Macaca fascicularis: one gene and its partners. The protein of the gene in region 1 interacts with the protein of each later gene in a biochemical or structural test. Links are inferred from orthologs where the notes say so. Each region holds a gene or a part of one and is shown in the gene's direction. Other genes may lie near its edges. The genes, in order: DLG4, KCNA5, CYSLTR2, KCNA1, NET1, KCNA4 and LRP2.

Region 1 (3,140 bases):
ACTTCCTTTCTCCTTTTTCTTGGCTTTCCTTCCGGCCTGTGTCACCTCTGCCTTACACACCCCGCCCCACTCGCTGCTGCCCCGGCTCTGCCACCATCTCTTGGGTCCCTGTCTGCCTGGTGCTCCTCCCTTCCTCCATTCTGTCCTGTCCCTGCCCTCTCCCCGTGCTCTCCATCCTCCCTTTCCTTTCTCTGTCTTTTACTCTGTCCCTGCCCTCTTCCTGCCTGACTCTCTGCCCCCGTGTTTCTTGACATCCACGTCACTCCCCTTCGGCCAACCTCCCATTCCCCACCTCTCCCCGTCCCATGTCCCTCCGGCACTGCTGTCTGTCCTTTCCCGCCACCTGCTGGCCCCCTCCGCCCACCCTGCCTGCCCCCAGGGGAAGCACTGCATCCTCGATGTCTCGGCCAATGCCGTGCGGCGGCTGCAGGCGGCCCACCTGCACCCCATCGCCATCTTCATTCGCCCCCGCTCCCTGGAGAATGTGCTGTGAGTATAGTCCTGGGGGCCTCCCCTCTGCTCCCCCAACACATGTGGCCCTGGGCCTCACTAGGCCTCTGCAGTCAACTCTCCCTTCAGAACGCTGGACAGCGGTTTCAGCAACCCCAGAGGGGGATTCCTGAAACCCAGCAGAACCTGGAATCCAGGAGACCTGGAACCCAGAGGATGCGGGGAATCGGGCCTTTCCCCTCCTCTCCTGCCTTGGGCTAGACGGGACTACATCTCCCAGCAGCCCCTGGGGTATACCAGCTGGGACGAGTCAGGGCCTCCGGGGCTGTTGGGAGTTGGAGTCCGAATCCCATCTCTGGGGCTGAAGGCTGGAAGGATGAAGCTCTGGAAATGTCCCTGGAGTAGCCACACCTGGCTGGGGCGGTTGCGGGTGGGGGTCTCATCTGTGGCCCCAGAGGATACTGGGAATTGTATTTTTTTTTTTTTTTTTGCTATGTGCTCCAAATAGAAGAATACTAGTTGTAACTTAACATTCCTAGATAGAGGAGGTAAAAGGTAGGGTCAGGTGGGCCCAGTCTCAGGCCTGCTCTCCCTCCCTCTTCACAGAGAGATTAACAAGCGGATCACAGAGGAGCAAGCCCGCAAAGCCTTCGACAGAGCCACCAAGCTGGAGCAGGAGTTCACAGAGTGCTTCTCAGGTGAGGCCACAGCAAGGCTGTCGCCAGCACGTAGGGTGCCTTTGCTCGGATTAGAAAGAGCTCCCCCGCCACTCCCAGTGGATGGTTTAGAAAGAGGTGCCCCTGTGGGCATGGCATGGGGGCTTACGCCTGTAATCCCAGCACTTTGGGAGGCCAAGGCAGGTGGATCACCTGAGGTCAGGAGTTCAAGACCAACCTGGCCAACATGATGAAACCCTGTCTCTAGTAAGAATACTAAAGTTAGCAGGGCGTGGTTTCGGGCACCTGTAATCCAAGCTACTCAGGAGGCTGAGGCAGGAGAATTGCTTGAACCTGGAGGCAGAGGTTGCAGTGAACCGAGATCGCACCACTGCACTCCGGCCTAGGCACTAAGAGTGAAACTCAGTCTCAAAAAAAAAAAAAAAAAAAAAAAAAAGAGGTGCCCCTTTGGGCGGGTACAGCCTCATGGCTCATGGCTTGGAGAATTAGAAAGAGGTGCCCCTTCCTCTGGGCTGGTGCCACTCCCTTGGCCAGGTGTCCTCTGGCCCTTCCTTGGCCTTACTACCTGCTCCACCCCACTCCCAGCCATCGTGGAGGGTGACAGCTTTGAGGAGATCTACCACAAGGTGAAGCGTGTCATCGAGGACCTCTCAGGCCCCTACATCTGGGTTCCAGCCCGAGAGAGACTCTGATTCCTGCCCTGGCTTGGCCTGGACTCGCCCTGCCTCCATCACCTGGGCCCTTGGTCTGGACTGAATTGCCCAAGCCCTTGGCTCCCCCCGGCCTCCCTCCCATCCCTTCTTATTTATTTCCTTTCTAACTGGATCCAGCCTATTGGAGGGGGGACACTCCTCTGCATGTATCCCCGTACCCCAGAACTGGGCTCCTGAATGCCAGGAACCTGGGGTCTGGGTGGGGAGCTGGGCTCCTGGTTCCGAGCCCTTGCTCCTTAGGATCCCCGCCCCCGCCCGCCCCCAATGCACACACAGACCCACGGGGGCCACCTGCCCTCCCCCATCTTCTCCCACACACATTCCAGAAGTCAGGGCCCCCTCGAGGAGCACCCGCTGCAGGGATGCAGGGCCACAGGCCTCCGCTCTCTCCTGAGGCAGGGTCTGGGGTCACCCCTGCCCTCATCGCAATTCCCCATGTCCCTTGATTTCTCATTTATTTTTTCCACTTTTTTTCTTCTCAAAGGTGGTTTTTTGGGGGGAGAAGCAGGGGACTCCACCGTGGGCCCCTGCCTTCCACATGCCCCCACCTTTTTTCTTTGCCGGTTTGCATGAGTGGAAGGTCTAAATGTGGCTTTTTTTTTTTTTTTTTTTCCTGGGAATTTTTTTTGGGGAAAAGGGAGGGATGGGTCTAGGGAGTGGGAAATGCGGGAGGGAGGGTGGGGGGCAGGGGTCGGGGGTCGGGTGTCCGGGAGCCAGGGAAGACTGGAAATGCTGCCGCCTTCTGCAATTTATTTATTTTTTCTTTTGAGAGAGTGAAAGGAAGAGACAGATACTTGAAACTCGGTGTGTGGCCTGGTTATTTGGGACCTGGGTGTGGAGGGAGACGGGAGGCTGGAACTTGTCTGGGGCCCTGCAAACTTAGTCCAGCTCTGATCCCCGCTGGGCTGTCTCAGCCCTGTTGAGTAGCGTAACAGTCCCTAAAGGAAAATAGAGAGGAAACTTCATTCATTCATGTTCATGGAGTTGTGGACAGAGCTAGTCTCTGGAAATGTTTTTTTTTTTTTTTTTTGAGACAGAGTCTTACTCTGTCGCCCAGGCTGGAGTGCCATCGTGCGATCTTGGTTCACTGCAACCTCCGCCCCCTGGGTTCAAGCGGTTCTCCTGCCTCAGCTTCTCGAGTCGCTGGGATTACAGGCGCCTGCCACCACGCCTGGCTAATTTTTGTATTTATATTTTTAGTGGAGACGGGGTTTTGCCATGTTGGCCAGGCTGGTCTCAAACTCCTGACCTCAGGTGATCCACCCGGCTCAGCCTCCCACAGTGTTAAGAGTACAGGCAT
Region 2 (3,977 bases), on another chromosome or scaffold:
TTCTTCGTTTGTAAAATGGTGATGATAACAGTACTTACAAAACAGGTTGCTGTAGGAATACGCAGAGACAATATTTGTGAAGTGCTGAGAATGGGCTGGTGCATAATAACAGCGAAGTAAGTATTGGTTGTTATTATTCCACTCTTGGGATTTCTCCAGCCTTGGAGATTGGACAGCCTCCCTGGCTCCCTCTCATAAGCCACCTCCACCCTCTGCCTCCTTCATGGACCTAGATGCAGTTGTTAGCTCCAAGATTCACCAGACAGGATTAGCCTTCACTAGGATTGTAAAAATCTCTTCTCCCCTCCCCTGGTGTGGTTTTTGCAAATGGGATTCGTTGGAGAGGGTGCAGGGGTTCTGCTGGGTTGAGACCAGACAGCCCATCTACTGACTAGGCTGCTTGCCTGGGCTGCCACTGGGTCCATACTGGAAACAGGCTAGGGCATGCGAATCCTGCAAGGTTCCAACCCTCTAGTACATTTTTGTGGAGCTGCAGGAAGACGAGAAGAGAGATGCTTCTCCATTGATATATGTATTTCAAGGTCCGAAACTACGTGGGCCCCCTCCCTTCTGTAATTCTTCCCAAAGAAATACCGTTATTTCTCCAAAATAAAAAGGACTGGTGTCTCCTGTCTCTGTCTCTCATACTCCGACTCAGCTCAAAGCCTCTTCCCTTTAGCCCAAGGCACTTCGTTCCCCCTGGAGTCCACTCGGCTTCCAGCGGGTTCCCAGGTGAACCGAAATCCAGAGCTATTCTCATCTGGTTGCCCTGGGAATTTCAGCGCTCTCGGTACAACCTGTTCCTCCATCCTCCCCACTCCTTCCCTCCCTCCGCTGGGCTGCACCCCTCTCAGCCCCTCCTTTCCCTTGCTAGGGGCACCAGCTGCGCCCTTCGGGGAGACACTGGCTGCCACAAGACCCGGGAGGGGAAGCGGGAGGAGGGGGAGGGGAAGCAGGAGGAGGGGGAAGGGAGAGGGGAAGGCGGGGGAGGCGCCGAGGGTGGAGGCCAAGCGCAGCGCAGCCAGAGAGGGACGGCTGAAGGTTGCATCTGCTGGAAGGAGGCTTTTCGGCTGCTTGGTAACGGGCTGCCAGAAGAGAGAGAGGCAGAGAGCAGGGCAGCGGCTTCTTGACGTCAGGGCCAAGCGAGGGGATCGCGCCAGCAACCCCAGCTCGCCCCAGAGAGGGGCCGGCCGACCGCGGGAGCGGAGCCTGACGGGAGGTGCCCGGGGAGCGTGAGTAGGGGGCGCGGCAGCAGGTCAGCTGGGGCGCAGCATGCCCGCTGCTCCCGCGCCATGGAGATCGCCCTGGTGCCCCTGGAGAACGGCGGTGCCATGACCGTCAGAGGAGGCGATGAGGCCCGGGCAGGCTGCGGCCAGGCCACAGGGGGAGAGCTCCAGTGTCCCCCGACGGCTGGGCTCAGCGATGGGCCCAAGGAGCCGGCGCCAAAGGGGCGCGGCGCGCAGAGAGACGCGGACCCGGGAGTGCGGCCCTTGCCTCCGCTGCCCAAGGAGCTGCCACAGCCTCGACGGCCGCCTCCCGAGGACGAGGAGGAAGAAGGCGACCCCGGCCTGGGCACGGTGGAGGACCAGGCTCTGGGCACGGCGTCCCTGCACCACCAGCGCGTCCACATCAACATCTCCGGGCTGCGCTTCGAGACGCAGCTGGGCACCCTGGCGCAGTTCCCCAACACCCTCCTGGGCGACCCCGCCAAGCGCCTGCGCTACTTCGACCCCCTGAGGAACGAGTACTTCTTCGACCGCAACCGGCCCAGCTTCGACGGTATCCTCTACTACTACCAGTCGGGGGGCCGCCTGCGGAGGCCGGTCAACGTCTCCCTGGACGTGTTCGCGGACGAGATCCGCTTCTACCAGCTGGGGGACGAGGCCATGGAGCGCTTCCGCGAGGATGAGGGTTTCATTAAAGAAGAGGAGAAGCCCCTGCCCCGCAACGAGTTTCAGCGCCAGGTGTGGCTTATCTTCGAGTATCCGGAGAGCTCTGGGTCCGCGCGGGCCATCGCCATCGTCTCGGTCTTGGTCATCCTCATCTCCATCATCACCTTCTGCTTGGAGACCCTGCCCGAGTTCAGGGATGAACGCGAGCTGCTCCGCCACCCCCCAGCGCCCCACCAGCCTCCCGCGCCCGCCCCTGGGACCAACGGCAGCGGGGTCATGGCCCCGCCCTCTGGCCCTACGGTGGCACCGCTCCTGCCCAGGACCCTGGCCGACCCCTTCTTCATCGTGGAGACCACGTGCGTCATCTGGTTCACCTTCGAGCTGCTCGTGCGCTTCTTCGCCTGCCCCAGCAAGGCAGGGTTCTCCCGGAACATCATGAACATCATCGATGTGGTGGCCATCTTCCCTTACTTCATCACCCTGGGCACCGAGCTGGCAGAGCAACAGCCAGGGGGCGGAGGAGGCAGCCAGAATGGGCAGCAGGCCATGTCCCTGGCCATCCTCAGAGTCATCCGCCTGGTCCGGGTGTTCCGCATCTTCAAGCTCTCCCGCCACTCCAAGGGGCTGCAGATCCTGGGCAAGACCTTGCAGGCCTCCATGAGGGAGCTGGGGTTGCTCATCTTCTTCCTGTTCATCGGGGTCATCCTCTTCTCCAGTGCCGTCTACTTCGCAGAGGCTGACAACCAGGGGACCCATTTCTCTAGCATCCCTGATGCCTTCTGGTGGGCAGTGGTCACCATGACCACTGTGGGCTACGGGGACATGAGGCCCATCACCGTGGGGGGCAAGATCGTGGGCTCGCTGTGTGCCATCGCCGGGGTCCTCACCATTGCCCTGCCTGTGCCCGTCATTGTCTCCAACTTCAACTACTTCTACCACCGGGAGACGGACCACGAGGAGCCGGCAGTCCTTAAGGAAGAGCAGGGCCCTCAGAGCCAGGGGCCGGGGCTGGACAGAGGAGTCCAGCGGAAGGTCCAGGAGTCCAGCGGGAGCAGGGGATCCTTCTGCAAGGCCGGGGGGACCCTGGAGAATGCAGACAGTGCCCGAAGGAGCAGCTGCCCCCTAGAGAAGTGTAACGTCAAGGCCAAGAGCAACGTGGACTTGCGGAGGTCCCTTTATGCCCTCTGCCTGGACACCAGCCGGGAAACAGATTTGTAAAAGGAGATTCAGGCAGACTGGTGGCAGTGGGGTAGGGAATGGAAGGCTTGCTGAACATGGATATTTACATTATACCGCAGAGTATTTGAAGTCACACTGTAACCTCAGTCTACCCCTCTCCTTTCACTCCTTTCCTCCCTCCCTCAATCCCCCCATTTTCTCTCTTCTTTCCATGACACCCAAGGGTCACCTATTTTTAAAAAGTACCACATTCCATGACGCAGGAGCTGTTGAAATGGTAAGCGCTGTGAGATGGATGTATTTGTAGCCAGTCTCCTATACCCCGCAGAGGGATAACCCAAACAAAAATGACTCTAAATAGCCCAGATCCCAAGAGATTACGTAACTCCTCCATCCATGTGTTCCAAATTTGCTTTACATATGATTACATTTGTGTATAGGGGAAAATATTATTTTTATGCCTGGTAAGTGGCTTTTTGTACTGTAGTTTAGATAGAGATATTTTGGATATATTTTCAAGATACATGTTGTATTTATGGAAGAAAGAGTTGCCCTGATGTTTTTCTGTGATACTTATATTAGAGCCAGAGATCTTGGTATGGGCTGTTCTGGTTCCTGTGTCTCCAAGCCTCTGTCTTTTCCGGGATGTGGTATTGGTGCTTTGTGTCTAGGGCAGAGAATGTTCTTGAAGAAAGGCAAATCTGACTTTTTCTGTGCGCCTTAAACAATTCTTGTAACTTTCTTCAAAAAGCATTTGAATGATATTGGAGGAATACTTCTGATAATTTATTCTCTTTATTTTTAATCCCAGGAAATAAAAGGTTACCTTGTTGAGGCAAGTGTTAGTTTTTCTGCAGCTGATATGTTTTCTGACATTTTAAAAAATAGTCTGTCACTGTCTGTTTC
Region 3 (4,017 bases), on another chromosome or scaffold:
ATTTTTGTGTATTGATTTCCTATCCTGCAACTTTGCTGAATTTGCTTATTAGTTCTATTGGGGTTTTGTGTGTGTGTGTGTGTGTGTGTGTGTGTGTGTGTGTGTGTGTGTATGGAATCTTCAGGTTTTCCTACGTATAAAATTTTATCATTTGCAGACAGATATAATTTTACTTATTTATTTCCAATTTGGATCCCTTTTATGTATTTTTCTTGCTTAATGTTACTGCAGCTTTCTATCCAGGAAATGAGGATTTGAACAGTGATGGGGAGGTCAGCAATGGTTGGAGTTGGGACATATTTTATGGGCAGAACAAATGGAACTTGTTGGCTCAGAAGTGGGTGGTGGAAGAAAGAGAGAAGTTAAAAGTGACTTCTAGGTTTATGGATGGGCTAAATTATTGTGGTGCCACTGTTTAGACAGGGTAGATGGGGGGATGCAGGACTAAGAGGGGAAGAGAAAAGGTCCATCTGGGTCACATTAAATTTGGCCATGATTGTGCATCAGATAGATAAAAGCAAGAGAAGGAGGGAAGAAGTCAGAACACAGACCTCTGGGGAAAGCTCACATGTAGAAAAGGGATGGAAGAAGAGGCATCAGAAAGAGAGGCAAAGAAGAGCAATCTGAGGGGGAGAAAAAGAACCAGGAAAGTCAGAGAAACAAGGAAGAAGTTTCAGGAAAGTGGTAGTGGTCAACTATGCAAACAAGACGGGAAGGAAGGTGAGGACTGAGAAAGGATTTTTTATGTGAGCAACAAGGTTATTGGTAACCTCTGACAGAACATTTTCAGCAGAGTGGATAAGGTCTCTGCTGGAGTGCAAGTGAATTGAAAATATAAGTGAGTGAGGGAAGTGCTTTAAACAAATCTAAAGTGCTGTGTGTGTAAGGCAGTGTTGCTATTTCTGTTGCCATGGAAACAGAAACCTTTCAGGAGAACTAAAAGCCACTTAAAATCCCTGACTCTAACCCATTATATCCGCTTGTTCTCTTGAGAAAGATAATGACAAAAACCAGTCATTAGAGGGGCAGGGCAATTTTAGGTTTCTTCTTTTTAGATGTAGCCCTTAACTGGAAATCTTCCCCCTTCTTGAGAAGAGATCTTGCACTGACATCTATACTGGCTTCTAAAAAGCACAGATGACCTGCTACACTTCCTGACTTTCTTGCTATTGGTTGGCACTGTTCATAAATATAATTTGCTGTTTCCCTTTTCTTTTAAATGAGCAATCCGAATTACTTGGAGGAGAAAGGCAGAAGAGATAGAGGCAGCAGAAGCCAGGGCAGCTGAAAGACAGAGAACTTCAGGTGGGCATTTTAATCTTTGTTTTGTTAATTCAGTGTTGAGAATCATGACTTGAAGATCACGTAATAGAGGAGTAATTTTTGAAAAGTAAATTTGTTTTGTTCTACTATAAATATTATTTTCCTATCATGTACATGGTAGTTTAAAAAATACTGTGAAAGTACAAAAATGTTAAAGGAAGCCAAATTCTCCACCAAGATAGCCTCTATTGATATTTTGGGGGTTTTCCGTGTGTGTGTGTGTGTGTATGTGTGTGTGTGTGTGCGTGTTTGTGAATGTGTATATGCACATATAACTTTAGTTTTCATAGTTGCGTCCCTGCACTATGGACACGTTTATATTCATTTCCTGCATTTCAGTCTATGGTTTTTCCATGTTGCTGTGAATTCTTTGTAATCATAAATTAAAGCTGCTGCATAATATTGCATTGAGGAACTTTACTTCCTCCATTTTTAGCTGTATAGCAGTTATCCTATTTTTCATAGTTTGGGTCCTTTTATTATATAAGATATATTTTTTTCATTCAGGGTCTTGTTTTAGAGGTAGAAGAAGTTGAATCTGAGCACATATGTTTCAATGGTTTTGCTTAGAGGCACAATGAGAGTGAAAGAGTATGTGAGATCATGAGCATATAATCTGTTCCTTACCCCACTGGGACCCTAACCAGTGTTTCTCAACTCTGGCTGCACATCAAGTCAGAATCACCTGACTCTGAGGAGATTAGAAAATTACCCCTAGAATAATTGAAGCTTAACTTTTAGAGATCAGCAAGTCATCTGCAGTATTTTGTCTTGTTTTCCAGAAACTTCTCAGGTGATTCTAATAGGTGGTCGGCATAAAAACAGATGACCTACGTCATTCAAAATATTTTTCTGTCTCTGACATATACCTGAGAGTAATATGTATTAGGAGAAAGGGAGGTATAATTTCAGGCAATCCAATCAAATCTCCCTTTCAACACTACATACATAATGCAAATTACAGAATAATTTGGGGGGAAACATAAGACTTCTAGAAATTTCTATCTACCTCAGCCACATAAACTCTTGAGATGAGAATCTACTTGTGTTTCGATTTACTAATGTTTTAAAGAGGTGGATTTGTTTCCAGTGCTTCGATGGTTAAAAGTTAGAGAAGTTGAGGCTGTCGTATGTTCTGAATGTACCTGAATCACGCCCATATCTGCTAGAATCTGCCAAGGCAGCCAGGCTTCCTTTCTTTTGCAATCTTCAAGATTAAACACAAGGTGGGCATTTAATAGCTGGCCAGTCACTAACACACTGTGGGCACAGTGAAGATCGATGGCATTGGATTTGGAGGCAGAAGGTGGCTCACTCTGGCTTTCAGGAGCCCCATAGACATGGCACTTACCTTCTCTGGACCTCATGTCCTCAGGAGGAAAGTGGACAGAGTTTATGCCAGGGCTGCGTTCTGGTTTCTCCCATTGGGGACTGAAAACAGAGCCAGAGCCCCTAAACCACATTGAAGCATTTGCTGTTGCACTCCTAGCCTGCTGCAGGCCAGGAATCATCCCAACGAGACCAACAGCATGTTAATCAAATTTCTTCTTGTTTTGACTCAGTGGAGAACACCTGTTTAGTACCTTCATTAATGAATGTAAACATTCACATAGTACTTTACAAAACACGTTTACATGCATCAGTTCATTTGATCCACATACTAGCCTTAAGAACTGGAGTAATTCTTATTTTAAAGATGGTAAAGATGAGACCGAGAGAACATAGGATCTTTTCCAGGTGGAACCAGAACTGGTCCAATCTGGTTTAGCCCAGGGCACATGGTCCATTCTTACAACTTAAATAATAGCTATTGTGGGAAATTGGTTAAACATATTTCATAATGTTTATATAATTGGTTATTCTGTAGCCAGTTAGATGATGACATTGATGTTGTTATTTGGCAAAGAAAGGTGATCATGGCATGGAAATAAGAAAAAAGCAAGATATAAAACAGTATTATAAATGCGCTTATTTTTGTTTAAAAATATTTTCATATATTTCAAGAAAGATGAAAAAAAGCATATATGTGAAATTTTAGATATGTCTGGTTGGTGGTAAAGTTCATAATTTAAGTTTATTTCAGCTTGTATTACATTGTAATTTTTCTTTACCATGAACATGTACTACTTGTGTAATAAAAATAAAGGAAAGTAAATAGAATTGTTCATGTCTTTCTGGTTGGCTCTTCTCCGGATGAAATGGCCCCATCTTTTACTTGGCCGTAAAGAAGGCTGCTATTTAATTCTCTGAGTTTTGTACGTTATTGTCACAAATTTTATTGTGATTGTCAGCTAGTACTGACTGAATTCTTTGTGTGTGTTGGGCACCAAGTTAATCACTTCACATCCATTTTTTTTTTCATCAGTACTCACTCCAGTGCTCCTTTGGCAGAGGAGAGTTTGAAGCTCAGAGGGCTGCAGTAATAAAAGAGACTAAAAGGCAGAGTTGAAACTTAAACCCAGGACCCTTTTAACTCAAAAGCACATGGTTTCATTCATTATATCACTCTGCCTCCCATCCACCTGGGATCACATGAGCAGCCTCCGTTTTGGAGGAAAGATGATATATTTTTTCAGTGTACTACTCATTGCTGTGTACATGAATACATGATGGTTACTTTGGGCATCATTAAGATTTCCTGTGTACTCCAGAATCAAGGATCCTTTCTGCTTTTCTATAGTTTGCTCTATGCAC
Region 4 (4,233 bases), on another chromosome or scaffold:
TTGCATTAGAGCAGCAGTGCAGAAAGGTAGGGATCCCTGGAGCTATTGAGATTGAAGGATATGCGTGTGGAAGGTGGGAAAAGGGCAGAGTTCAACATGGGAAGGAGGAGTATAAGATAACTCATTGTTCATGAAAGAAAAGCTGGGGTATGGATCTGAAGGAGGGGACGGAACATACACTTTTGTTTTTCTGAAGGGAATGCTGGCGTCTGAATCTGGAGGAAGGATTTAACTAGTTCCAGACAGGGACTGTTGCACTGCCTGGGCAATCCCGCAGAGGCCCCTGCTTTCCACTAGCCACAATAGAGCGGGGAGGATGCAATCATTGGCTTTGATTAAGGAGGTGGGTGGTGTAGGCGGGAGGCAACAGTGGTGAGAAGGGTGGTCCCAAGGCCGAGGGAGGAGCCAATCAGCGGCGACTCTGGGCTCTTGCAGCCTCCTTAGAGACTCCACAGCCCTGGAAGTACCAAACTGCCGGCAGCCTTTTCTCGAGCTGCAGGCGCGGAGACTCAGCGCCTCTGGGGGCGCAGCTCCAGCCGCACTCGCAGGGCACGGCGCACGCCCCCAGCTCCTGCTGCCATGCGCCTCTGCGGGGGACCCTTTCCGAATAAATTGCAAGCTTTGAAAGTGGCCTTGTGGAGGCACTAGGCTGGGGAAAGAGGCTACGGGAGGAGGGGCATAGGGTGGGAGGTGAGTAGGCGACTTGCTTCTCAGATTATTCCCAATTAGCACCAAGTTGGCAGACAACCCCACAAACCCACGAAGCCTTCGGTCCCCCACAAGTCACATTCTCTGTATTTCAGAATAATCGGATTGTAAGAAAACTTCAAGTCCCATCGTAGGTTAAAGAGGGACAGGCTCTTAGCACCATCGCCGCCTAGTAAAACTACATGGAACAAACCCAGGGATCCTCAACTGCACAGCTCTGCCTAAAGTCTGCAGCTCTGAGAGTCCAGCCGGCGGGGGGAAGCTGGGAGGGCCCCGCAGAGAGCAAGGGCCTTCTTGGGGGAGGAGCGGAATGGGGCGCAGAGCAGTGCGATCGAAGAGGGTTACTGTGGGACTGCACAAAAGCAAACCCATTGGAGGAGTTTTGCCAGAAACACCACCGCCTGCATTGCGTCGGACCTGACCATTTCCAATGTGAAATTCCCGGGGAAGGTCGCGAGCCGCCAGGGGCCGTGCGTGGGCGGGGCGGTGGGCCACAAGGGAAGTAGAGTTAGTGGTCGGCTTTTCTGGTAGGAGAGGAAAAAGCTGTGCTGGCAAGGGTGGGAACTGAATGACAACCCCGCTCTCTTCCAAACCACCCCCTCATATTTTCCATCCACCTCCTCGCGCCTGCCCTCCCCCGCCCTCCCCAACCCACGCCCGGGTGGGCCAATCGCTGCTCTGTATTCCAGGCGCTTTCTCAGGTTTCTGCTGATCTTGCAGCGCCCAGAAATGGACCGAGCGGACCCGCCGCCGCACGCACCCTGCTCCACTCCGAGCTCCTGAGGGCTCCCGGCGCGCCGCGTAGCCTTGGCGAGGTCCGCGCTGGGGTGCGGCGAGCGAAGGGAACTGGAGAGCCATGTAGATCCAGGCTCTTGCCCGCCCGCCTCCTTCGGGATCGAATCAAGGGCTCCCATAGTGTTAGGAGGGGGCGAGAGTGCTGTTTATCGTCATTTGCCTCTGAGCTTCGGGAAAGAGTGATATTTTGCTTTTCCGCCCCGCATCCTCCGGAACTCCCTGCACCGGAGAGAGGACGGCGTCTCCAGGTTGCTGGCAACCGGTGAGAATGGGGGTAGGGAATGAACATTTTCGCCGTAGCTCCTCGGTAAAGCGATTGTCCAACTGAGAGGGGCGTCGGACGAGCGGACCAGGGCGGCGAGTTTGCCCGGCGCGTCTCGGATGCTGCTGCGGCGGCCGCCGCGGCTCCCGCCAGGGCACTGCAAAGGCGACCTGCCGCATTCCCACGCGGGCTCTCCGCCGACTCAGCACCGCCCCTGCGCCAAGCCGGCCGGCCAGGTAGGGGTTTCCCCAGCTCGGGGCTGCAGAAGCGGGGGTTGGGGCGACGGGGTGGGGGAGGCCGGGGGTGCGGGGATGCTGCCTGGGACCCGGAGCTTCCCCCGGCGTCTCTCGGCGCTTTTCCGATCTCTAGTTTAACGAAGTTGTAAACAGATCGGCTGTTGGGCATTGGGGAAAGTGGGATGGAAGAGCCCCAAACTTGGATTTCCGGGTGTCTGCGTGTCGTCTGTCCGTGTGTGTGTGATAGCCCTAGTAAACGTCCAGTGCTTTCCGAGCTAGAGGTCTGTGTTCTTCGGTGTCTGTAGGTCCGTCCCATCCGAATGCTTCTGATTTTCTACCCCCGTATCACTTTCTATTTCTCTGCAGCGTCCATCGATCGCCCTGGTGGGAGCTTAGAAGGCGGCAGGCGAAGAGGGGTAGGAGGGGGGAGAGCCGAGGAGAAGCAGAGGGGGTGGCAGGCATGGGGATCTGCTGAGCTGGCACTGCACCGGGTCCTAGCAAGGCTCTCGGAGGGGAGGGGAGGCCAGGGCGACCCCCGAAGCCATGGCCCAGTCCGCTAGAACGGCACTGCGTTAAGGCACCTGGGATCAGGAAGAAATATCTAAACAACAACAACAACAACAACAAAAAGCCAACAAACCCCCAAATCCAAACCCGACCCTCTGCAAAAAGCGGCACCCGGCCCGCAGGCGAGGGGGATTCCAAATTGAGTACAAGGCAGGGTGGAGGGGAAGGCAGCGAGAGGCAAAGTCGCAGATCTCCCGACCTGCTCATTTTGAAGCCCCTCCCCCTGGGCGTGAGGGAGACGCGCACTCCGGTGGGGGGGCCGCTTGGGTCCCCCCCCACCCCTGGTCCCTGGCTGTTTCCCACCCCGGGCTCTCTCCTGGCCTCCCACCCCCGCGCCCGGCTTTCACCATGACGGTGATGTCTGGGGAGAACGTGGACGAGGCTTCGGCCGCCCCGGGCCACCCCCAGGATGGCAGCTACCCCCGGCAGACCGACCACGACGACCACGAGTGCTGCGAGCGCGTGGTGATCAACATCTCCGGGCTGCGCTTCGAGACGCAGCTCAAGACCCTGGCGCAGTTCCCCAACACGCTGCTGGGCAACCCTAAGAAACGCATGCGCTACTTCGACCCCCTGAGGAACGAGTACTTCTTCGACCGCAACCGGCCCAGCTTCGACGCCATCCTCTACTACTACCAGTCGGGGGGCCGCCTGCGGAGGCCGGTCAACGTGCCCCTGGACATGTTCTCCGAGGAGATCAAGTTTTACGAGTTGGGCGAGGAGGCCATGGAGAAGTTCCGGGAGGACGAGGGCTTCATCAAGGAGGAGGAGCGTCCTCTACCCGAGAAGGAGTACCAGCGCCAGGTGTGGCTGCTCTTCGAGTACCCCGAGAGTTCGGGGCCCGCCAGGGTCATTGCCATCGTCTCCGTCATGGTCATCCTCATCTCCATCGTCATCTTTTGCCTGGAGACGCTCCCCGAGCTGAAGGATGACAAGGACTTCACGGGCACCGTCCACCGCATCGACAACACCACGGTCATCTACAATTCCAACATCTTCACGGACCCCTTCTTCATCGTGGAAACGCTGTGTATCATCTGGTTCTCCTTCGAGCTGGTGGTGCGCTTCTTCGCCTGCCCCAGCAAGACGGACTTCTTCAAAAACATCATGAACTTCATCGACATTGTGGCCATCATTCCTTATTTCATCACCCTGGGCACCGAGATAGCTGAGCAGGAAGGAAACCAGAAGGGCGAGCAGGCCACCTCGCTGGCCATCCTCAGGGTCATCCGCTTGGTAAGGGTTTTTAGAATCTTCAAGCTCTCCCGCCACTCTAAGGGCCTCCAGATCCTGGGCCAGACCCTCAAAGCTAGTATGAGAGAGCTAGGGCTGCTCATCTTTTTCCTCTTCATCGGCGTCATCCTGTTTTCTAGTGCAGTGTACTTTGCCGAGGCGGAAGAAGCTGAGTCGCACTTCTCCAGTATCCCCGATGCTTTCTGGTGGGCGGTGGTGTCCATGACCACTGTAGGATACGGTGACATGTACCCTGTGACAATTGGAGGCAAGATCGTGGGCTCCTTGTGTGCCATCGCTGGTGTGCTGACAATTGCCCTGCCCGTACCTGTCATTGTGTCCAATTTCAACTATTTCTACCACCGAGAAACTGAGGGGGAAGAGCAGGCTCAGTTGCTCCACGTCAGTTCCCCTAACTTAGCCTCTGACAGT
Region 5 (4,148 bases), on another chromosome or scaffold:
AATATGTCCTTATTTTAAAAAAAATTAAGTGCAAAAAATAAAAATTTTGAATACCTGAAGTCTAACTACCTAGAGACATTTTAATACATTGATTTTTTAATACATTTAATACATTTTAACACATTGACATTATCTTTTTCCTTTGTATAATGTCTTGTAATTCATAACTGAATATACTGAATATATCTCTATACTTCATGTTTTTATTTCAAATTACCAGTATACTATTACACACTTCACACTTCATTTTTGTTGGCTGAAAATATTCTTCTCAGTGGATGAGCTGTAAATCATTGTTTATTTAGGTTGTCTTAAATGTTTCTATTATAAACAATATCATTAATAGCTTCATGTTTATATAATTTTATTTTTTAGGATAAATTTCCAGAAGTTGAAATATAGTGCCAAAAGAGAAGTTTGTTTTGTTTTTTTGGAGACGGAGTCTCACTCTGTCGCTGAGCTGGAGTGCAGTGCCATGATCTTGGTTCACTACAACCTCCGACTCCTTGGTTCAAGGGATTCTCCTGCCTCAGCCTCCCGAGTAGCTGGGATTACAGGCATGTGCCACCATGCCCAGTTAATTTTTGTATTTTAGTAGCGATGGGGTTTCACCATGTTGGCCAGGATGGTCTTGATCTCCTGACCTCATGATCCGCCTGCCTCGGCCTCCCAAAGTGCTGGGATTACAGGCGTGAGCCACCACTGCCGGTCAGGAGAAGCTATTTTAAAGACTTTGACACATATAAAGCAATATTTAAATTCAAAGAACGTGTAATTTAACAATTTTTTTTTTTTTTTTACTTGAGGCCGTCCTTTATTTTGTATTATGTCTTTTGCTGACTTTTTACAAGCAAAGGATGAAGTTACTTCATTCCGTTTTGGTAAGGAGAGACTGTGTATCCTTATTGGAAGACACCAGGGCTCAAAATTAGATTTTGCTGTTTCCTAGAGACAGCCCTGGGAACACACTTGTATAATCTTTGGTAATTGGAAATATATCTCATATTGGCCACGTGCACAGTAATTTAGTGTGTATATGGCCAATAAACAAGCCTTGTTTACAGGTCATTACTTTGGACCTCTCTTCTCCCCAAATGCTAAGAAAGATCTGATGACTTAAAATGCTTCCAGTCCATTTGCCTTGGCCTGCAGTGAAAGTCCTAATGAACAATGAAGGAGGTATCGGGCCTTGGGGACTCAGGGATGCGCTCAACAGTTAATGTCAAGTTTTCCTAGGCTCTTTCCTAGGCAAGTGGATCCCGGGAGCGGCGAAGGGGCGGGACTCCACGTCTCCTAGGAACCGCTGCGCGCTCACTGATTGGCTGATCGCTGCGCAGCCGCCATTTTCAAATCCCCGGATGACGGCGGTGGCGGCTGCAGTCCGCTGACAGGCGCTTTCTGCCTGGCAGAGGCTGGCGGGCATCGTGCCCGTCCCTGCCGGTCTTCTGGGCACCCGGCCACCGCCCCACCCCCTCCTCCGTGCCATGGAGCCCGAGCTGGCGGCTCAGAAACAGCCCCGGCCGCGGAGGCGAAGCCGCCGGGCCTCTGGGCTCAGCACGGAGGGAGTGGCGGGGCCTTCGGCAGACACCTCTGGGCCGGAGCTGGACGGGAGGTGAGTGTGGGGGAGGGGAGGGCCGAACGGGAGGTGAGTGTTGGGGAGGCAGGGGCCGGGGGGAGGGGAGGGCTGGCCGTGAGTTGGGTGTGGGGGGCAGCGAGAGCGGGGGATGGGGGGGATGGGGGGGTTGGTGAGGGCCAGGGGGAGGCGAGGGCCGCTGGGAGGTAAGTGGGGGGTGGGGAAGGTGACTGCGGGGTTCGGGGGAGGACCGGGGCCGCTGGAGATGAGGGTGACACAGGCCGGAGTGACAGTGTGCCTGGCCTTGGCCTGAGGTCGGTCCTGAGACTCCCAACTGCGATTTTCCCTGCCTGTGGCAAAGGGGCGGGCTTGTTGAGTCTCCTCTACTCCTGACTGTTTCTCAGGGGGAGACTTAGGAAAAGCCACAATGGTTTTGTTCTCCACACCCAACTGGCTGTAGACTGGAGTTCCCAAATGACTTTACTCAGACCGAAACTGACATGGTGAGCACCACGAGAATGGGGTTCCATGTCCTGAGAATGAAAAGACTAGGGGATAAGTTGTGAGATGCCTATTTCCATCACAACCATTTTCGTGTTTTTTCTTTTTACTTTTTGTGGAAGTATACATTGAAATGAGAGTGTATGACTCGTGTTTGGCTCAGTGAAATTTCACAGAGCGAAGCTCAGGGGATAGCTGGTGAATTAGGAGGAAGGGAACCAAGTGAGAACAGTATCCAGGAGGCCAAATGAAGAAAGGATTTCAAGAGGACGTGATGAGCTGTGTCAGATGTTATTGACAGGTCAAATAAAAATGAGGATTAAGTAAAATATGAGGATTAAGCTAGATGAGGAATGAAAATTAAATTTGGTAATGAGAAGAGAGTATTGATCTTAGATGGTTTCCAAGAATGGTTACAATATCGAACTTAGAGTGTTTTGTAACAGGTTGAGAAGAGAATGTGCGATTTGTTCAGGAAATAATGTGAGTGCCAACACTAGGAATATGGAAATGGAAAAATACTGTTCTTACTATTTAAGGTTTATAATCTAATAGGGAAGAAAGATAAGTAGGTTAATAATTATAATGTGTGATAAAAGTTATTACAGAATATAGAATTAGAATTCTATATATTATAGAATATAGAATGCCATAGATTTAAAGGAACACTTAATCCTGACTGGAGAGAACAGGAAATGATTTCCTATTGTAATCCTGAGTCTTTGAGGACCAGTTTAGAGAGCAGATGTAGATGGGTGATTTCAGGCAGAGAGGCATGTAGAAAGACCCTGAAGCAAATGGGTCTGATGAGTTCTGGGTGTATATTCTATTTTATTACTATATTAACAATACTATTTGTATAGAGGAGAGGAGACCAGTATAGGGAGAAGGAGGAGGTAGTCATGAGAGATTTATGCTAAAGAGGTAAGAGCCACATCATGAAGAGACCTTGTATGCCTTGACAGAGTTTGGGTTTTATCTTCATGGTAGTGGGGAAATACTGAAAGACTTTAAATGAGCCAATAGCATGACATATTTGCATTTTAGAAGATCAGTTTGTCTTCCATGAGAAAAATAAGCAACATTTTGGACTCATCTCACTCTTAATATTTTATGAAAACTATTCCCCAAAAACGTGCTCATATACATAAACATTTCAGGAGATTTGTGGACTCAGCCGTGTATACCAAATTAAAATTTCCAAGTTTAGATGATGGATTGGTAGGAAATCAGTCTGCAGTAGTCTAAATGAAAAATGATGATTGTTCAAATCTGATAGCTGGCAATGGGATTGGTGAAGAGAAGTCTCACTGCAACAGGAAGACAAGGAAGAAGAATAGAGGGAAATAACACAAGTTTGTGGGATAGACTCTTAAAAAAGAATAAACTTGATGTGCTGAGCTTAGTTAACAAATAGAGGGAGAGGTCGAACAGACAGTAGAGGAGAAAAATGGTTGAACAAGGATCCAAGAAGGCAGAAAAGGATAGAATCCAAATTCAAGGTGGAGGATTTAGCCTAACAAGAAGCTATGGATGGTACATAATTTTGAAGAATGGGGTGTGTCGTGAGCAGGAATTTGAGGACTTTCCCACCAGGCCTCTATTTTTTGTGTGAGGTAGGAAATGATCTATTCTGAGAAAAGCGTAGTAACACAGGCAACATGAGGAGAGTGAGACACAGAAGAACCATGGAGGGAAAATGGAGAATTAAATAACTAACATTCCTTTTCCAGAAAAGAGGTAAGATCATCTACAAGAATATGTAAAATATTACAAGATAGTATTAATTGTGAGGCAAGAAACAACTAAGGGCTGTATCAGATTCAGAAATCATAAGGAAAATTTGTGTATATGATTGTGTGACTATTAAAAAATGTTCTGCAAAACTCACTATAAACTAATTTGAAAGACAAATACGTACAGTACAATTTACCCACTTAAATCGTACTACTTAGAACATTTTCATCACCTCAAAAAGAGCATTTATAACCTTTAGCTGTTGTTCCCCTTCTGCCCCAAAACCTAATCTGTTGGTCTGTAGGAATTTCTGTGTTCTGGACATCGCATATGAATG
Region 6 (4,080 bases), on another chromosome or scaffold:
AGCATGAAAAGCCCAAGAAGCTATTAACCAGAAGTTTCCGCTTTAGGGGACGAGGGACTTGTCCCAGGCCCTGGCATGCACAGCTAGGTTTAACTTTCAATTCACAGTGACCTTTTCCTTAATTTAATGCAAACAATCACGCCCAGACGTGGAGATTTAAGATGCTAATGATACATACGTCCTGTGAAGAAGCATGTTAAACCACTATGCATGCACCAGAAAAACTCCACCTCTACATGCCCTGCCTATAGTTCCCCTTATTTCCCCTTACGGCAGAGGCCCGTAAAGGAAACCACACCCTGACTTCGAGGAACAGCCCACTTTTTTTTTTCTTGGTGTTAGCTCCCTTGTGCGCACAAGCTTTAATTAAAAGAAAGAAAGAAAAATCAAAAAAACTTGTATTTTGCTGCGATCTCCCTTGATTTCTATCCCGAAGGATCCAAAGAGCCCTCAGGGAGTCGGTACCAGAGGCGTATTTCTTTTTGCAGCAACAGGTTGGCTGCGTGCTCTTCCCCCGCCTTCCAAAGCCCCCAGCCCCTGGCCCACCCAGCCACTTACTCATCTCTCCAACCCTCCTCCCCTAGGACTGCTGCCTCCCGTGCGCAGCCCCTAGCTTGGGCCTGATTCCAATTTCTGTAACATTCCCCTGCCCGGGGTTGAACACAGGTTGAAAGTCGGTCTCCTCCGCGCCCCGGAGGCCCAACCCCGGCGCTGAAGCCGCTCAACTACTGTGTACAAGGGAGGCGGAGACTGAGGGATCTGCACGCGCTGGCAGGCACAGGAGGGCTCCCCGCCAGCGGCCTCGCCGGAGATGCACCCGCCTCCCAACCCAACAAACCCGCTTTGGGAGGGGGTGGGGTGGGGAAAAGAAGACGGGGCTAGAGGGGAGATATAGAGAAAGCAAGTTAGGGAGAGGAGATGTCCCAAAGGACCCCATTTTCGGGACTGCACCTCCCATTGGAGCTCCCCGCTCCCAAGCCCTCTGGGGACTCCCGCGCTGCCGTCGAAACCCCTATTCCGGCCCCAACGGGGACACTTCTCCAGGATTTGCTCCTCGCCTCTGGGGACCAGAGCCAAAGACTCCTGGAATTGATCCCAGATCCTGGGAGTCGGGGGGCCCAGCCGGGGTGCGGGGAGTCGCGGCGTCGTGACTGCGCCCGCCCCGCCGCGCCAGGAGGCGCCCCTGGCGACCGTCGCGAACGCCACACCCTCGGCTCGGCCCTGGCCCCGCCCCCGCCCGGCGCGCGTTCGCGGCCAGGGGAGGCGTGTGCTGCTCCCGCAGCCAGCGAGAGCCAGAGAGGGATGGATGTTGGAGGAGGAATTCGGGCTTAACAAGTGATCGCTGCTGTCTAGGATTTTGTTTCTTTTCGGAGGAACCTTGACTTCCTTTCCCAGGCAATCCCTCCTGTGCTGAACTCCAGAGGAACCAGGAGCCTTGGGGTCTTCTCTGGGGCAGCCCCGACCCCCACCCCCAGACTCCAGCCGCGAGAACCCTGTGCACCCCCCGGGCCAGGCAACAGAACTTGTTCCGTGGATATTTGGACCCTCCACCTGCCAAACCCGAGTGATTCCTTTTACCACCCCCCTCACCCAAGATCATTCTTCCCCTCCTCCAGCTGTTGCAGCTTGAGGGGGAAAAACAAGCCAGCCGGTGGATTTTCTTTATTTTTATTTTTCGCCCCGCCGGGGAACGGTAAGTATGATACCTTTTTTTTTTTTTTTTTTAAATATTTCCTCCACCTTCTTCTTTTGGCTGTTAAGAAACAGTGGACATTTGAGGGATAAATAATATCGGGAATGTGACAGAAGGGCATGAATGGAAGGCGGTTAAAAATAAACCAGGAGGTGGGAGAAGGGAGGTGCGGATGCTGCGCGGCGCTCCAGGGGGCCAACAGTTGTTATTTTCCCAACCCCGGGGATGCGGTGAGTGCGCCCTGCTTAACGTGCTGGAGCGGGAACCGAGGTCTGGAGGCGACGGCGCGATTAAAGATGTCGTTTCCCAACGAGAGGGGGGTTAAGATTTAGCATCGTTTCACCTCCTTCCAGCCGCACCGGTTAACAGCCGGTGAACGAGTCTGAATTGCTGCCTCTCCCAACGTTTGGATTTGCGTGCATTTTCCGAGCATTTGAGCAACATACATAGGGGCTGCATAAATGGCGTGCGTTGAAGTGTATATTTCTCACGGTATTGGCTTCTCTGATTCCCTCTCTCAATTTTTCTTCTCTCTCTCTCTCTCTCTCTCTCTCTCTCTAAGGTTCGGGTACCACCCTGACACTGACACAGTTGCAGGAATTAGCACTGAGAGACGAACAGCCTTGTTGTTGGAGGGGTGAGAGGAGGAGGGGTGGGATGCTTGGCTGTTGTTTGGGGGCGCCGGGATTGGGGAATAGGTAGTCTGCAAAATCCTATTAGTTTAATGGTGTTAAAGAAGAAGACAAATTCCTCTGCAAAGATCTATATCATAAAGGCTCCTGGAAATTGGCTTGAATAGATTCTACTAACAAGAGTACCCTGAGAAAGAAGAGAGATTTTAAACCAGTCTGATTTGCTGGGAGGAATGATTTTTCTTTTCTCTTCTTTTTCTTTCTCTCTCCTTTTCTAGATCAGGGATAGTGAAATAACTAGTAGATGATTAAAAGGAAGGCAATTTGCTACTTGTAGGGTGGAGGAGGGAGTTAGATAAACAAAGACAAATAATCCCAAATAAATAAATAAATAAATGTGAAATTATTTGGTGTAGAGCAGAAAGAGGGCAGTTCTAGAACTCCCGAAGAGCTGATGGTGAATTAGAAGACTCTCTAATTTATGACCTTCTGGGAGTCAGTTGGGTGGGAGGGTAGGTGTGTGTAGTACTCAACTATACAGGAACTTGGGTTACACTGGGGCTTCATTGAAATTATAATTGTTTTGGGGGAGTTGGGGAAGAAACTGAGCAAACTCTCAGGCTATTTGGTCTGTACCAGTCTTGAAAGGATGTTGGCCTGACACTCCACGGTGAATGTCACCCCAGGATGGTTTTGTAAGTAGGGATTTAGTAACTCCTTGGGGGTAAACATTTCAGAGTATGAGATGATGTTAGGAGTAAGGCAAAGAAGGGAGATGGCATGTGAGAGGCCCTCAGTGGTGTATTTTCTGGAGTTTGTGTTGCAATCAAATGCCCTCCTTGCCCTAGGAAAATGTGTATGATTGGGAAGGGGTGTATGATTGGGAAGACCTCTGTTTGCCACTTCCATGCTTGTCACTTCATAAAATTTAGTGTGTTTAGGCTGCTAGGCTGACAGGATCAGCAAGGAGCAGCAGGTGGTCAAGAGCTGAATCCTGTTAATGGCTTCAGAAAGCCATTTCTCTTATGCTTTCCAAGTGCTTCCAGTAATAGAAGCTGGTAGATGCCCTGAATTCTGACTATCATCATTCTCTCCAGTTCTCTGGGTTACTCCCTGCATTCTTGGAAGTCCTGTTGAACAGAGTACATGGAAAAATCAAGAGGAGACAGGAGATTTGGATGGGGGCTTTTATAGGACCTGGCTGAGGAGATGAATTACCTGGATCTTGGGAGAGCAAACTAAGGAAGAAGAAGGGCCAGGAATAACAGGTGACAGAGGGAGCAGATTGGAACTGCAAGGGACATGCAATTCGGAAGTGGGAGATTGTAAATAAAAGTGGGCAGAGAGAGAGAGAGAGAGAGAGAGAGAGAGAGAGAGAGAGAGGACGAGGGATGTTAGGGATGTGGATTTTATTGAAGTGGGGGTAAGTATGATAGGCTAAGAATGAAGTTCACACAAACTGACATTTTAAAAAATAAGAGATAGCACCTTGAGCAGAGTGGAGGAGGAACCATTGAGGTGAACATGGAGCGACCGCCAAAGAGAGAAGATGGTTATTAGAGATGTGGAAACTGGCATTAGTTCCTAGCCTGTGGGTGGTAGAGAGTGTTCAGGATTCAGGGGAACAGAAAAACAATGGGGACATGAGGTAGGGAGCCAGGCAGTGCCAACTTAACGACGGCCACTGGTGAGTCTCAGGATGTACTGTATGTCCTCATGTCCCATCTTCCCCTACTTTAGTTAGTGGCCTAAGGA
Region 7 (3,500 bases), on another chromosome or scaffold:
ACTCTGACGGGCATGGATCGTGAAGTCATTGTCAATGCAGCCGTTCATGCTTTCGGCTTGACTCTCTATGGCCAGTATATTTACTGGACTGACTTGTACACACAAAGAATTTACCGAGCTAACAAATATGACGGGTCAGGTCAGATTGCAATGACCACAAATTTGCTCTCCCAGCCCAGGGGAATCAACACTGTTGTGAAGAACCAGAAAGAACAGTGTAACAATCCTTGTGAACAGTTTAATGGGGGCTGCAGCCATATCTGTGCACCAGGTAAGGCATTGACCATGAAAATTAAAACATGGAGAATAATGATCACAATACAATTGGTAAGGAAGGCTGAAGTTCTCACAGGAGAAAAAAAATTCAAATTCTCCTTGATTTCAGGGTAATTTATAAAATAGACCTGGGACTATATTTTGAGAAGAAGACTTGGCAGGCTTCCTTTCTATTCTATATGGAGCCCTTTTATGAAAGCATTTTATTTTATTTTATTTTATTTTATTTTATTTTATTTTTGAGATGGAGTCTCACTCTGTCGCCCAGGCTGGAGTGCAGTGGCAGGATCTCGGCTCACTGCAGCCTCCACCTCCCGAGTTCATGCAATTCTCCTGCCTCAGCCTCCCTAGTAGCTGGGACTACAGGCGTACACCACCATGTCCAGCTAATTTTTGTATTTTTAGTAGAGATGGGGCTTCACCATGTTGGCCAGGCTAGTCTCAAACTCTTGGCCTCAAGTGATCCGCCCACCTCGGCTTCCCAAAGTGCTGGGATTACAGGTGTGAGCCACAGTGCTCAGCTTATGAAGGCATTTTAAATACAAGCTTGATGGAGTTAGAAAGAAAGATGAAGGGCTTGGCTGCCCAGCTTCATGTCTTGACTAGGAATTCTGTCAATGAGCTTGCCTTCCTTATAAAAGGATGTACATTTTCTGCTTAAGAGGTATTATTTATAGTTTGAAATATTTCTGGTGGTATTTGCGGGTGGGATCATATGTGCTTCATTGTGCATTTTATAAAGAACAGCAAATTCATGGGAAGATGTGCCTTTTGATGTTGTTGCTTTGCAAATTTTGCTGAGAAGAGACGTTGATATTTCCTGTTGTTTAGAAGGAATCGGCACATTTATTAGAAATTGGTGATTGCTCTTCTTGATGGAAAAGTAACTCAGAATATAGTTAAAAGGTTAATGGGCAGAATTTCCATGGCTTGTCTTAGGGAGCATTTAATGTAGAAGCTGTTGCAAGTGCTATTGTGTAGGGGACAATGTGAACGGTGGCTGCATCCATCTTTTGCTTCTTCTGGGATTATCTTTCTTCAGGTCCAAATGGTGCTGAGTGCCAGTGTCCACATGAGGGCAACTGGTATTTGGCCAATAACAGGAAGCACTGCATTGTGGACAATGGTGAACGATGTGGTGCATCTTCCTTCACCTGCTCCAATGGGCGCTGCATCTCGAAAGAGTGGAAGTGTGATAATGACAACGACTGTGGGGACGGCAGTGATGAGATGGAAAGTGTCTGTGGTGAGTTGGGCTCTTGGCGCTTTTGGTAGGAGCTAATGGCATCTTGATGTCAAGTGTTTGGTACGGAATCCAGCTGTGTGTGAATGGGTTCGAACTGTGTGCCTAGGCATCCTGGTAGAGCTGAAACATGTTTGCTCTTATAATCCAGACTGTTTCTGTTAAATCACCCCTGTAGTGGTTAAGAGCATGAGCACAGTCATCATCCTGGTGATTGTATTTTGTAATCTGTATAGCCCTGGGAAAGTTACTTAATATCTCAAGCCTCAGATGTCTCATCTGTAAAATGGAGCTACTACTAGGGTTCTTGTGAGGAGTAAGAGAAACAATATGTAAAAAACCCTTAGCATGAGACATGGTGCATGCTAAGCCTGGCTTAGCTTGGGACTAAGGAAATGTATCATTTTTACTAATTTTCATAGCACAAAGGTCATTATTTCAATAATTTTATGAAAATAACTTCCAATCCTCAGCTTCCATCTGAATAGAGTGAGTAAAACACAGTGGACTTTCTCAGGGAGTTCTGAGGTTGGTTACCTTTTCCTAGCAGACTGTGATAGGGGCTAGGAGTTTTTATTTTCCTGAAATAAACTATAATTGCTTGCTTTTCTGTGATTTAGATAAATTGAGATTATCGAGAGAATGACTTTGATTTGTGCTGAAATTACTTGATTTGTACATAAAACAATTTATTTAAAAAAGGTATGCAACATATTTTGCTTAATCTAACTAATTAAAAGTGTTATCTCACTTTGCATGCAGTCCGTTTTGCAGCGTTTTTTGCCTTGGAAGGTAAATTCAAAGTGTCCCTTTTATTTAATTGTATCTTTTTAAAAATTAGGATAATGCTTTAATCAAGAGGGTTTGTTCTCATGTTTTTCCTCTTCTTAGCACTTCACACCTGCTCACCGACAGCCTTCACCTGTGCCAATGGGCGATGTGTCCAATACTCTTACCGCTGTGATTACTACAATGACTGTGGTGATGGCAGTGATGAGGCAGGGTGCCTGTTCAGGGACTGCAATGCCACCACGGAGTTTATGTGCAATAATAGAAGGTGCATACCTCGTGAGTTTGTCTGCAATGGTGTAGACAACTGCCATGATAATAACACTTCAGATGAGAAAAATTGCCGTAAGTTTATCTTAAGTGCTTATTGTGATTTTGGGTCTGAAGTCTTGGATCATGGGAGATGAAATTATTATATAAAAACAAAGGCTTTCCAAAAAAGATAAAACCGAAGTATTTATCTAAGATGTAAATTTTTGGCTAGGCACGGTAGCAAGTATCAACAACTACCAATCTTGTTTCATTTTTCTCTCCTTTTTTCTAGTATTTTAAAGTGACTCCTAGACATGCACTTCACTGATAATATTTTGGAAAACAACTACTATGCTGTTATAATGCCTGGCAAAATCAACAGTACTTACTTAATATCCCTGAGTACCTAGTCCATGTTCAGATTTTGTCGCTTATCCCCAAAATGTATTTTTACTGTTACTCTGTTCAAGTTAGGGTTCAGATGAGATCTACATATTGATTTTGATTGTTATAATTCTTCAATTTCTTTTATGCCACAACACTTCCCACTTTTTAATGTCATTGATTCATTAGAAAGATTGGGTGATTTGTCCTGTAGAATATCTCACATTCTGGATTTGACTAATTGCATAATTGATCCATTTAATTTATCTTATCCCTCTTATTTCCTATGAACTGGTATTTAGACCTAGAGTTTTGATCGTAACAGGTGCAATTCTTTGGGTAAGAGTGTTTCAGAGGTGGAGCTGTGCGTTTCCTGTTGCATCACCTCATGAGGCACATGATGTTGGGTTGCCCCACTTTAAGTGGATTCTGGCGTCAGCCTGAATCTTCTCTTATGAAACTCCCATCCTCCTTTCACCCAATGGTTTTAACATCTATGGGTAGTTGTTCCATAAACCCATTATTTCTTTAAGGGTTATGAAATGGGCACTTTAAA

The links.
Region 2: the proteins of DLG4 (region 1) and KCNA5 form a complex in vitro, tested with the Homo sapiens proteins (2 studies listed by BioGRID and IntAct, with this or other methods). The link is inferred for Macaca fascicularis from reciprocal best matches to the Homo sapiens genes DLG4 and KCNA5.
Region 3: the proteins of DLG4 (region 1) and CYSLTR2 interact in a biophysical measurement, tested with the Homo sapiens proteins (2 studies listed by IntAct, with this or other methods). The link is inferred for Macaca fascicularis from reciprocal best matches to the Homo sapiens genes DLG4 and CYSLTR2.
Region 4: the proteins of DLG4 (region 1) and KCNA1 form a complex in vitro, tested with the Homo sapiens proteins (3 studies listed by BioGRID and IntAct, with this or other methods). The link is inferred for Macaca fascicularis from reciprocal best matches to the Homo sapiens genes DLG4 and KCNA1.
Region 5: the proteins of DLG4 (region 1) and NET1 interact in a biophysical measurement, tested with the Homo sapiens proteins (2 studies listed by IntAct, with this or other methods). The link is inferred for Macaca fascicularis from reciprocal best matches to the Homo sapiens genes DLG4 and NET1.
Region 6: the proteins of DLG4 (region 1) and KCNA4 form a complex in vitro, tested with the Homo sapiens proteins (8 studies listed by BioGRID and IntAct, with this or other methods). The link is inferred for Macaca fascicularis from reciprocal best matches to the Homo sapiens genes DLG4 and KCNA4.
Region 7: the proteins of DLG4 (region 1) and LRP2 form a complex in vitro, tested with the Homo sapiens proteins (2 studies listed by BioGRID and IntAct, with this or other methods). The link is inferred for Macaca fascicularis from reciprocal best matches to the Homo sapiens genes DLG4 and LRP2.

Annotation. Positions count from the first base shown.
Region 1 is NC_088390.1:7,237,284-7,240,423, reverse strand, and holds the end of DLG4 (disks large homolog 4), read left to right. Parts: intron 1-379; coding exon 380-489; intron 490-1,056; coding exon 1,057-1,148; intron 1,149-1,712; coding exon 1,713-1,819; 3' UTR 1,820-2,640; downstream 2,641-3,140. UniProt on the Homo sapiens protein: Postsynaptic scaffolding protein that plays a critical role in synaptogenesis and synaptic plasticity by providing a platform for the postsynaptic clustering of crucial synaptic proteins.
Region 2 is NC_088385.1:5,921,385-5,925,361, forward strand, and holds KCNA5 (potassium voltage-gated channel subfamily A member 5), read left to right. Parts: upstream 1-1,177; 5' UTR 1,178-1,292; coding exon 1,293-3,110; 3' UTR 3,111-3,910; downstream 3,911-3,977. UniProt on the Homo sapiens protein: Voltage-gated potassium channel that mediates transmembrane potassium transport in excitable membranes. Forms tetrameric potassium-selective channels through which potassium ions pass in accordance with their electrochemical gradient.
Region 3 is NC_088391.1:27,793,166-27,797,182, forward strand, and holds the start of CYSLTR2 (cysteinyl leukotriene receptor 2), read left to right. Parts: upstream 1-1,217; 5' UTR 1,218-1,305; intron 1,306-4,017. UniProt on the Homo sapiens protein: Receptor for cysteinyl leukotrienes. The response is mediated via a G-protein that activates a phosphatidylinositol-calcium second messenger system.
Region 4 is NC_088385.1:5,789,115-5,793,347, forward strand, and holds the start of KCNA1 (potassium voltage-gated channel subfamily A member 1), read left to right. Parts: upstream 1-1,433; 5' UTR 1,434-2,001; intron 2,002-2,367; 5' UTR 2,368-2,916; coding exon 2,917-4,233. UniProt on the Homo sapiens protein: Voltage-gated potassium channel that mediates transmembrane potassium transport in excitable membranes, primarily in the brain and the central nervous system, but also in the kidney.
Region 5 is NC_088383.1:6,348,167-6,352,314, forward strand, and holds the start of NET1 (neuroepithelial cell-transforming gene 1 protein), read left to right. Parts: upstream 1-1,348; 5' UTR 1,349-1,484; coding exon 1,485-1,612; intron 1,613-4,148. UniProt on the Homo sapiens protein: Acts as a guanine nucleotide exchange factor (GEF) for RhoA GTPase. May be involved in activation of the SAPK/JNK pathway Stimulates genotoxic stress-induced RHOB activity in breast cancer cells leading to their cell death.
Region 6 is NC_088388.1:35,540,402-35,544,481, forward strand, and holds the start of KCNA4 (potassium voltage-gated channel subfamily A member 4), read left to right. Parts: upstream 1-1,280; 5' UTR 1,281-1,693; intron 1,694-1,890; exon of another isoform or gene 1,891-2,185; intron 2,186-4,080. UniProt on the Homo sapiens protein: Voltage-gated potassium channel that mediates transmembrane potassium transport in excitable membranes. Forms tetrameric potassium-selective channels through which potassium ions pass in accordance with their electrochemical gradient.
Region 7 is NC_088386.1:64,769,324-64,772,823, reverse strand, and holds part of LRP2 (low-density lipoprotein receptor-related protein 2), read left to right. Parts: coding exon 1-271; intron 272-1,318; coding exon 1,319-1,522; intron 1,523-2,410; coding exon 2,411-2,653; intron 2,654-3,500. UniProt on the Homo sapiens protein: Multiligand endocytic receptor. Acts together with CUBN to mediate endocytosis of high-density lipoproteins. Mediates receptor-mediated uptake of polybasic drugs such as aprotinin, aminoglycosides and polymyxin B.